3 linked regions of the Oryzias latipes genome follow. The protein of the gene in region 3 purifies or fractionates together with the protein of the main gene of each other region. This does not show direct contact. Links are inferred from orthologs where the notes say so. Each region holds a gene or a part of one and is shown on either strand. Other genes may lie near its edges. The genes, in order: ankyrin repeat and SOCS box protein 1, asb6 and rnf7.

Region 1 (3,756 bases), on a different chromosome or scaffold from region 3:
CTAAAAAAGACCCCAAAAAATGTAAGCTAAATAAAGATGAAATATTTTAGAAAACTCAAGTTATTTCCAGATTTAAAAAATTAAATGTTAAACAATGACATTTTTTTTAAATTGTTTTCCTTTTTGAATTGTCTGAGATATTTCATACAGTGGGGGAAAACAGGTTTAGTAAGCCACTAATTGTGCAGGTTCTCCCACTTAAAAATAAATGAGAAGCCTGTAATTTTCCTCATAGGTAAAACTCAACTATGGGAGTCAAAATGAGAACAAAACAAATCCAGAAAATCACATTGTTTGATTTTTAGAATCAGAATCAGAAATACTTTATTGATCCCACACGTGGGAAATTTGTTTGTCACCATAGCAACTGACAGCAGAGGGGAAAAAAAAAAGACTAAGAATAATATAAAAAAAGAACAAAGAAAATGTAGCATAAATGCAAAAAACAAGGTAGTATAATTTAAAAAGCTATTTACAGAACAGTGCAGGTAAAAAGATGTGCAAAAGAAATGTGCAAAATAGAAAAAAATTAATAAATAGCTAATAAAAAAATGTGCAAAGGTTATCTTTTGCACAGTGAGTTGTTGTACAGGGTTATTGTATCGGGTAGGAAGGATTTCTGGTACCGGGCAGTTTTGGAGCGGAGCTGTCTGAGCCTCCTAGAGAAGGAGCTCCGCTGTTTGTCCAGAACAGGGTGGAGAGGATGCTCTGGGTTGTCCATGATTGAAAGGAGTCTGTTCCGTGACCTCCTCTCCATCACTGCTTCAAATGTTTCCTGTTTGCAGCCAATGACAGAACCCGCCTTCCTGATCAGCTTGTTCAGTCTGTTGGTGTCACTGACTGCAATGCTGCTTCCCCAGCAGACCACGGAGGAGAACAGGGTGCTGGCTACCACAGACTGGTGGAAGATCCCCAGCATCTTGCCGCACACATAAAATGACATGGAGGGCCACATCCCAAGCCTTGAGTTTGACACGTGTGCTTTACACGTATCAGTCGTCCTGGTCCTGTTGGTGACTAACAGCCCCAAAGCATGATGTTTCCACCCCCATGCTTTACAGTAGGTATGGTGTTCTTTGGATGACACTCAGCATTCTTTCTCCTTTCAACACGACGAGTAGAGTTCTTGCCAAAAGGTTCTATTTTGGTTATATCTGACCATAGGACATTCTCCAGATCCTCTTCTGGACCATCCAAATGCTCTCTAGCAAACTTTAGACGGGCCGGCACATGTACTGGCTTCAGCAGGGGGACACGTCTGGCACTGCAGGGTTTGAGTCTCTGGTGGCGTAGTGTGTTACTGATGGTAGCCTTTGTTACTTTGGTCCCAGCTCTTGGCAGGTCATTCACTAGGTCCCCCCGTGTGGTTCTGGGATTTTTGTTCACTGTTCTTGTGATCATTTGGACCCCATGGGGCGATATCTTGCGGGGAGCCCCAGGTGGAGGAAGATTGTCAGTGGTATTGCATGACTTCCTTTCCTAATAATTGATTTCTTCAGACCAAGCTGCTTACCTGTTACAGATTCTGTCTTCCAGCCTGGTGCAGATCAACAATTTAGTTTCTGGTGTCCTTAGACAGCTCTTTGGTCTCAGCCATAGTGGAGTTTGAGGCTGTGGACAGGTGTCTTTTGTATAGATAATGAGCTCAAACTGGTATTATTAATACAGGTAATGAGTGGAGGACAGAGGATCCTCTTCCAGAAGATGTTACAGGTCTGTGGGAGCCAGAAATCGTGCTTGTTTGTTGGTGACCAAAACCTTATTTTCCACCATAATACACAAATAAATTATTTTAAAAATTGACAATGGGATTTTTGAGATTTATTGATGTGATTTGAACTTTAGGCCCATTGTACATAATTCTAAAAAAGAACAAGAAGTTTTCTAGCATTCGTATATTTGGCTGAATCACCAACTGTAAAGCACAGTAGTGGGGATGTAATGATTTGGGCTTCTGTTTTTGTTTTTTAGAGTTTCCGATTGCAACTTTTTAATCTTTAATGAGTTGAATCAGCCACAGAGCTGCAGCCTTTCTTAAAGTTTGGTCTCACAGTCGGAAGCTGTCCTCCTGCAGCAGGTTCCTCAGGGTGTCCAGGTCTCCCACGTAGGCCGCGTTGTGGAGCCGCATGTCATCCTGCTCCAGAGGTTTGTCGCAGAACTGCTCCTGAAGCCATTCCTTCAGGTTGCGGCCTACAGAGCACACTTCCAAACATCAGTTTGAGTTTTCCTTATATATTTAAAACATGAAAGAGCCTAGGCTGCACGACATCTGTCAGTCAAATGTTTTGATCATTGGATGTTGGGGCCAGAAGGCACCGCCTAACTTAATGGAGGGATCTGATTGGTCGGTTTATGACTTGAATGCACTAAAGAAAAATTTAGGATTAGAAAGATTGGAACATGTTAAATAAAAAAATAGTTTATTTATAGAGACGCTGTTTATTTCTCTATAGACGTCTATGGGAATTTGCGGTACTTCTGGTTCAGTCAGAACATCTTATGCCGTCTGCATCAGGGTGACAGATGATGGACGGGTTGGTTGGTGGCGGCTCGCGGCTCGTGCAGACTTGCTCACCTGCAGGGGTGGATGTGGGCAGGTCGGACACGGTGATGAGCGGAAGGAACCGGATACTGGGCGGTTCGTCCGCGTCCGGACCGTCAGCCATGCTGCACGACTGAACGCAGAGGCGATCCCGACACACAGACGCAGGGACAGGCGGGGGTCCGGACCAGACAGGAGAGCATAAACAAGCAGGACGGAGTTGACGAAGGCGTCTGCGCAGATCACGGCGTCACTTCCGGGCTGGCTGTGCAGCTTAAAGTGCCAGCGCGGGTTTTAACCAAACCAACTACTGAAAAAAAGGGTTAGATTCACTAAAGATTTTAGAAATAAATAAGGGTGAAGTAAAATAAATAAATACAATTTAAAAAAAGCTATTTAACTCAATACATTTTTCAAAATTCACTGTTTCAAGTTGCTGCCATTGAAGGTCAAACTTTTGAATGGATTTCAGTTCAATTATTAGTCTGCATGGATGACTTATGTATTAAACTTTTAAGTTTGATGAGCTGGAATGTTTACAGTTTAAATAACCATAAATTTCCTCTAAGGGATCCTCCACATCGGTGACTGACCCTTCTCAGTGAAAGGGGTCGCTGCAATGGGATCTCCCGGGTCTGACTCTGACTCTTTTGATTGGATCTGGGGGGTCCTGTGGTAGTGTACTCCGTGAACTTGGGTGGGGGTCACTGATGTGGACATGTCCCCAAAATATCATTTCCCCACTTCAGGACAAAGCCAGGTCTCTACATTCTATCATTTCATCACTCTTTATATCATGGTGTGCGTGGGTGTGTGTGTGTGTGTGTGTGTGTGTGTGTGTGGGGGGGGGGGTTGTCGGCACTGTTTGTCTTGTCATCTTGTTTTTAAACTTTATTGTATTTTATGCACAGCACTTTGAGTGACGTGTTGTTGTAAAGGTGCTATATAAATAAAGGTTGATTTGATTTGATTTGAAATACCACCTTAAACAAACATAAATAACTCGTGAGACATTTTCTTCTGGGCTTTTAAAGTTAATTTGACAATTCTTTGAATGTACGTTTGTTTGTTTGTTTATTTTGGATGGCAGCAATTAACAGCTGCCAAAAAAATAAAAATAAAAATTAAAAATAGAGCACCCTGCGAGCCCGCCTTCACCCAGCAGTAGTTGAGACTGGCTGCTGCGACCCAGTGACCCAGAAGGCATCCAGCAG
Region 2 (3,746 bases), on a different chromosome or scaffold from region 3:
CAATCTCAGCAGCGTCCTCCACACTGGCATCCAGAGCCTCTTTGACCAGAAACACCAAAGATGATTCAACGGTTTCTCCATCGACTGTTGCAGCGCTAACATCAGAACCTTTAAGGAAAACGTTTTACAATCAATTCTAAAATACCACTGGCACAATTTGAACAGTTGAAGCAAGGAAGCAAGATGAAAAAGATCAGAATGATTTCCTTCTTACCCCTCTCAAGTAGCAGCTGTATGTTCTCGATGTTGTGCACAGTAAGTCCATCGCTGCTCGCTAATGCATGTAGCAGCGGCGTTTTCCCTTTCGATTTGAGAGGAAAGCAACCCTTTTTAGAATTAAAAGGGCACAGATGGATATTGTGGAATGACGTCGGCCGATTTAAACGCACCGTGCTTGTCTCTAGCGTTCACAGCAGCACCGAGGTCCAATAAGGTGAGCAGACAGGGCAGCCTCTCCGACTCCTCACTCGCTAAATCTAAGGGACTGCTCTCGTGAATCTGAAAAGGACATGCAGGATTGTATATTCCCATATCCAGAACAATTGAGAAATGTAGAAGAAAAATTGGTTAAGTTCTCACTCGGTCCCTCTTTTCGATGTCTGCTCCGTGTCCAGCAAGCAGCCTCACCATATTTGGCCGGTTCCTCAACACAGCTATGTGCAGTGGGTTGTAATAGGACACTGGGTCTTGAAAACAAAACAAAAAAAGTTCACATTCATTGATTACAGCGTTTCCTTGTTTACTGTGGGGTTACGTTCTAAAAATAACCCGCGATAGGTAAATCCGCGAAGTAGGATTCCAGATGTTTAACGGCTGTAAAACCCCTCCCTCACTACACACCGTATACATTTTCTCAGACAGACAGGAACATTTTTACTCTTTTCTCTTGTTTAAACTCACAAAATGAATCCAGTGTTATAGAATGAAAAGGTTCATATAAAACTGGCAAACTGCCCACATTCTGTACAGGAGACACAAGAAGGAGATTGACTGACACAAGGCCTTTAGCCAATCAGAACAGTGAACACAATGTCCTGGGGAGAAGAAAAAAAAAGAACAAAAAAAAGTTCAAAATTGCATTGAAAAAATGATTAATGTTTTCAAATGTTGTTAAATTGCTGTGGCAGTTAAAACATGAGAATATTAGATAACATTTCTGAAAACTGTGATCCAAAACCAAAAACAGAAATGAAATAAAAAAAATCCTACATCAACTGTAATAATATTTACTTTAAAACAGCTGTCAAGAAAACATAGTTTCAATTTAAATGCAAAAGAACAGCAAAAACATGATCCGTTTTGAAAACTAACTTACTGCAGCAACTTTATTCATGTTAAACATGAATGAAGCTGTTTCTGCAGGAATTCACTGAGTACATAGGAGAGGAAGTGTGCATCCAAAACCAGTAGAGGTCACCACAGCAGAGACTGACGACAGCTTTGATCAATCCAGTGACAAACACTCATCTTCTCACTGAAATGTCCAATTACTCAACGGCCTAGAGGTGGACTGTCAGCCCCTGAGGGCGGAGCTTAACACTCAGCATCACTGGGAGGGTCAAATGTCAAAAGGTTCCTGAGCGCAGCTAAGAATGTAGCTCACCGGTTCTTCAGGGGACAGGTTCAAAAGGAAGAACAAGCAACACGCACACACGTGTAGGTCAACTGGAGTTGCTTTCACTTAAATTAATACTAGTTTAATACTAATTTGCCAATTTTACAAAATGAATCATCATTAAAATTAGCCCAAAACTGGATTTACAAATGAATGAGATTTCTAACATGACATAAATGGAGGAAAATCATTTAGGCAATAATTACATGGATTTCCACTGGGGAGAAACGTGACCAAATCTGAATATTTACCTTCAAAATTGACATCAGCTCCATAGCGTAGGAGGATTTTGGCAGCATAAGCGAATCCCTGCTCTGCCACCTTAAAAAGTGCATAACTGATGCCTTCAACAAACATCTCTGACTGGGACTCCTGCTCCAGAAGCTCCACTAAAGAGCTGCATCTTCTGGGCTCATCATCGGGACTCCTAACAAGGCAAATAAGAAAGAAAAGGTCTCAATCAAACCTACAGGGCCTTTTTTTTCCCCTCATGATGAGGGAAAAATCAACCATCAATCATCGACCATCTGCTAAATATTGGTTTGGCAAACGTACCAGTTTTCGGGATGCCTGTTGTCTTCCTCCAAACCAATTACGCGCATGACAGCATCTACCAGTGGCTGATATTCATAGATGATTCTCCGAAATCCATGGAGAAAAGGCATGGCTCTTCCGGTCCGGTCTCAGACACGTCTGATTCTAACGCAGGAAAAACGTGTTAGAGACTTTCAAGGTAAGAAAAACGATATTTCGTTCATACAGCACTGTGTAGCCCTAAATTGTTGATATTACATTTTTTCTTCTACTGTTCTTTTTTTTCCAAATATCGTTACACACGATGTAGCCAATCAGAGTTAGCGGCAACTATGATCTATCTCGTTTTTTTTTTTTTTTCGTTTTAAAATTTAAGAGCAGAAACAGAACGTCGTGAGAGTCACGTATGGTTCTAGAACAAATCCTACAAATTACTGCACGATAGACAAAACTGAACATAAGATGAAGTGAGAAGAATTGCTTAGAAAAAAGAAAAACTTGTTCGAATCTTAGCAATTTCACAGCTACTCACAACAGAGTTCCCTCTTCACAACAGGAAGTTGGCCGGCGCTTGATTAATTCCCACTGAAACCACTAGACGCACAATAGTTCCTAGGAAACTGTCCGTTGGGAAAAAATGTGTTTGTGAGAAAAAGAAAAACTTTTTTTTAATGTAATGCCGTTCTTTTTTTTTTTTTTTTTTTTTTTTTTTTTTAATAAGAGTGAGCTAAATTGTACGACGGAGTATTAGGGCCACAAAAAAAAAAAAAAAAAAAAATAGAGCCACCAAAAAAAAAAAAAAAGTAAAATTACGAGATTTTATCTCGTAAATTTAGGAGATAAAAACTCGTAAATTTAGGAGATAAAAACTCGTAAATTTAGGAGAAAAAACTCGTAATTTTAGGAGATTACAGTGGAAGTGAGCATGCAGAGCAGCAGGTGAACGCCGTGCAGCCGCAGAGAAGACCGACTATACTTTGTTGAACAGGTGAGCTGAATGTTTATTGATAACGTTCCAAATGTCTGGAAGGTCATTTGTTTGATTTCCGATTCATTAAAGTTTTATTTATTGATGGTTGGTTTGCAGGATCTCTGCAGCCCGATGAAGCCGTCGTCGGTGTCCCTGCAGCTGTTTGCTTGAATCCTTTCTTCCTCCACCAAAGACAAGACTCTACGTCTGTGTGACGCTTCCGTCACACAAAAGGAGGAGCACTTTTTTTGGCATTTTCAACGTTCCAAAGCCAATATAAAACACTATTTTCATTCCTCTTTATTGTTTTATGCTGAAACGGGACATTTCATCTGCAGGAGGGGGCGTTTGTAAGACTGTTTACTTCCGCATTGGTGTTGGGATGACAGGTTCATGACGTAATGAGACAAATGAACTTCAGGATATGGGAATGAAAAGGAGAATAAAGGCTGCAGCGATTGTCTACACCCAAACGTGTCTCTGAGCTCCTTATTTTACATATTAAACTCCGCTTTACTGACACTGAACCCCGGAAAGACTGCTACACGGAAACTAATCTGATTTTGAGTCGCCAAAAGGTTCAGAATCTCTTTGTTTTACACCTATAATAATCCGGAAATGAAGCTT
Region 3 (2,993 bases):
AGTTTTATCTCACAACAATGTAATTTTAAGATGCAAAAAAATTGACATTAGTTCTTAGGGAAAAAAAAATTAGTGTTTAGGGGAAAATAAAATCACCTTATTTATCCACTCTCACATTTGACCCATGGGTAAATGTGACCACATTGGGTCAATGTGTTATAAAAAGTTAATTATCAAAGACTTGTGTGTTTTTTCAGTAGTCATTTAGAAAAGTGTAAAACAATAGATGAGTTATTCTCAGCATAAAATTTAGAAAATTAGCTAAACGTTTCCCGTCAAGTGTTTTTGAGATTTCATGGAAACAGCCATTTTGAAATCAGCAGGAAAAGTCATTCTACTGCCCCTAGTGGAATGATGATGAATTACAGGACAGAAAACATGGACCAATGGTTTTTAAAGAAAGTTTGGATCATGTTAATAATATTGGGGTCTCAGGAAGGCATGTATAAAATATGATGCAAATGGTTATATAGGATTAATGGAAACTATTCAAATGAAAACAGACCTGCAGCTTTCACAATTCTTTTATTTCTAAAATAAAAACCACTTCTTGTGCCAAACATCGCAACATACATCAAAGTTAATCTTAAATGTCAAACACTGTAAATTGTCATCCATCCCTCCATGAGGCTTCTAAAGGGGTAGAGCAGCTGATCTGTACGCGTTTTTGTTCCCCGCCCTCCTTTTACGCTGTGACTACAGGAAACATGCGATGGCGAGCAGGAAGACGGCACAGGAGAAGGCCGGGACGGCTCTGAAGAAAACACGGGCTCAGTCCTCATTTGCCGATTCTCTGCACCACCCAGTCTTGTTGGCAGAGGGGGCAACGGTTGTTCTGCTTCACCCAGAGGGACATGCAGCAGTTGTGGAAGGAGTGGTTGCACTCCCCCCAAACAACTGGAAGATGGAGGCAGACAAACAGGTTAAAAACTGAATGACAAACATGTTCAAAGACAATATATTGTATGAAACATGTACGTTTTCATTAGTACTCTTATTTTCACAAACACAGCAGGACTTCTGTGACAGATTATAGAGAAATCTTCACATGAAGAAGGGAAGAACATTAAAGTTCGTTTGATTGTGTCTCAAACTATTAAAGACCACCTCCAATGAAAATCACGTTTTTGGCGTTCTTATCATGTTCTTGTGATTTTTTTTGTTTTTTGATGATGGAGGACATGTATAACGAACGATTGCTTTATTCAAATTATTAAAAAACATGAACTTGAACATAAAAGTGGCAATTCATCTCTTTATTACAGGCTATTTGGTAAATTTAAAAAAATCACAAAACAGTTTTTTTGTTTTCAGTGTTTATTTTGTTGCCAATGTAAGAAAACTACAAAAACATTAAGAAAGCTGTCTATGGTTGGATGTTTTTAATGTATTACAATGTGTTTTGTAGTGTATGTGCCAAACTCTGGCATTCTCACTGTTATTGTTCTATGTTCTTTTGTTGTATTTTACATAAAATAATAATAATAACTTTTTTCTTTCAATATCGTGAAAGCTGCGCGCCTGAGCTTTTATTGTGGTGGGACGCAGGGTTGATGATAACGCTCTTTAGCATATCCGGTTAACCGATTGTGCTGTTGATGCAACTTTTAGAGCTCGGGGCGTCTTACCGACACAGTCTTCCTGTTTGTTCTCCGCCTGACATCGGAGGCACGCGTCTGTAAAAGTGTCAGAAATAAAGTTAAAGCACCAAGCAGCCTACATCCACCAAACACGTCCGTGTTAGCTAAGCTAGCACGGGTTAGCCGGGTATGCGTCCCAAGCTAGCTGTCAAACACTTACCCATTACTTGTACCCGACAAATCGCACACGTGTCGCATTCCACGTCCCAGCTCCACATGGCCACAGCGTTCCATTTCTTCAGGGAAAACATCTTGTCACTCCCCGTCTTGGATCCCGAAGAGGTGTGAGAAAGCACCAAACCCGGCTCGTCCCCGTCGTCCATCTCTGCAGCTCCCACGTTAGCTTAGCTAAACAAGCTGGATGCTTGTTCTCACAGCGACGGCAGAGGGCGCTGTTTCTCTATTTTTAGTAAAAAGAAGAAACCATCTTGAAGTTTGCACCTGTTTTATAGTGTATGCAATTTTTTTAAAATATGCTTCAAGACAATTTATTGTATTTTAGGAAATTATATAAAAACATCTAACATGCTTTATATTTCAATAAAAAATGTAATGTCTTAATTTTAAAAACTAATTTTGTCTTGAAACTGTAATCTGTAGCATATAAACTACTCATTATTAAGGAATGCTCCACTGAAGATATGGACAAAGAAAAATCTAAAATGTAATCAGTCAGGAAAGGTTTCATTAGCTATTTTATTAAATGACATTTTAACACACCAGCTTATGTAAAAAATATACATCATTTGTTATGTAAACATGCTTCATATAAAGATGAACATCTAATTTGTATGTTTATATAAAAAACAAGCCATTAATATAATTAACTACAGTGTAGTATTATAATTTAGGAAAAAACACAATATAAAGTTTTCTCTTTAATGCTGCTGTCTAACAACACCTTAATATTTATTACCTATTTAACATAAATTATAGTATACAAGACAATAAAAAAATAAAAATAAATGCTACCTCATTTCATCAGATGTATTTAAACACAACCAAACAAATTTCCAGCTATACACAGAAATTCTTTTATACAGATATCAAATTTACTATCATAAAATACTTTTTTTTTCTAGAATGACATCAATGCTTTGCTTTTGTCATTTTTGTTAAAGGAGTCCATTTCTCAGGATGGACGGTCAACAGTAAGTTCAGAGGAGCGTTGCTTCCTTCAAAGCCTTCCATTTCGAAGCTGCTTTGTCCTTAAACGTGTTTCTGTTTAGAGATCCACAAAGGAAACTGTCAGTCTTCATCAGATGAAACAGAAACAGGCACAGAACATCATGGCGACGCCTCTGGAGTCTGAAACGAACTCTGATTCTTTAGGACAAGCTTCTGAAAGTTTAA

Evidence for each region.
Region 1: the proteins of rnf7 (region 3) and ankyrin repeat and SOCS box protein 1 purify together in Homo sapiens (co-immunoprecipitation; 3 studies listed by BioGRID and IntAct, with this or other methods). This does not show direct contact. The link is inferred for Oryzias latipes from reciprocal best matches to the Homo sapiens genes RNF7 and ASB1.
Region 2: the proteins of rnf7 (region 3) and asb6 purify together in Homo sapiens (co-immunoprecipitation; 4 studies listed by BioGRID and IntAct, counting the BioPlex papers as one, with this or other methods). This does not show direct contact. The link is inferred for Oryzias latipes from reciprocal best matches to the Homo sapiens genes RNF7 and ASB6.

The regions. Positions count from the first base shown.
Region 1 is NC_019879.2:26,396,380-26,400,135, forward strand, and holds the start of ankyrin repeat and SOCS box protein 1, read right to left. Parts: upstream 2,793-3,756; 5' UTR 2,667-2,792; coding exon 2,576-2,666; intron 2,191-2,575; coding exon 2,052-2,190; intron 1-2,051. UniProt on the Homo sapiens protein: Probable substrate-recognition component of a SCF-like ECS (Elongin-Cullin-SOCS-box protein) E3 ligase complex which mediates the ubiquitination and subsequent proteasomal degradation of target proteins.
Region 2 is NC_019867.2:19,701,789-19,705,534, forward strand, and holds the start of asb6 (ankyrin repeat and SOCS box protein 6), read right to left. Parts: upstream 2,801-3,746; 5' UTR 2,682-2,800; intron 2,315-2,681; 5' UTR 2,281-2,314; coding exon 2,171-2,280; intron 2,043-2,170; coding exon 1,867-2,042; intron 687-1,866; coding exon 580-686; intron 499-579; coding exon 390-498; intron 302-389; coding exon 215-301; intron 109-214; coding exon 1-108. UniProt on the Homo sapiens protein: Probable substrate-recognition component of a SCF-like ECS (Elongin-Cullin-SOCS-box protein) E3 ubiquitin-protein ligase complex which mediates the ubiquitination and subsequent proteasomal degradation of target proteins.
Region 3 is NC_019871.2:22,564,803-22,567,795, forward strand, and holds rnf7 (RING-box protein 2), read right to left. Parts: upstream 2,022-2,993; 5' UTR 1,964-2,021; coding exon 1,801-1,963; intron 1,677-1,800; coding exon 1,629-1,676; intron 898-1,628; coding exon 779-897; 3' UTR 508-778; downstream 1-507. UniProt on the Homo sapiens protein: Catalytic component of multiple cullin-5-RING E3 ubiquitin-protein ligase complexes (ECS complexes), which mediate the ubiquitination and subsequent proteasomal degradation of target proteins.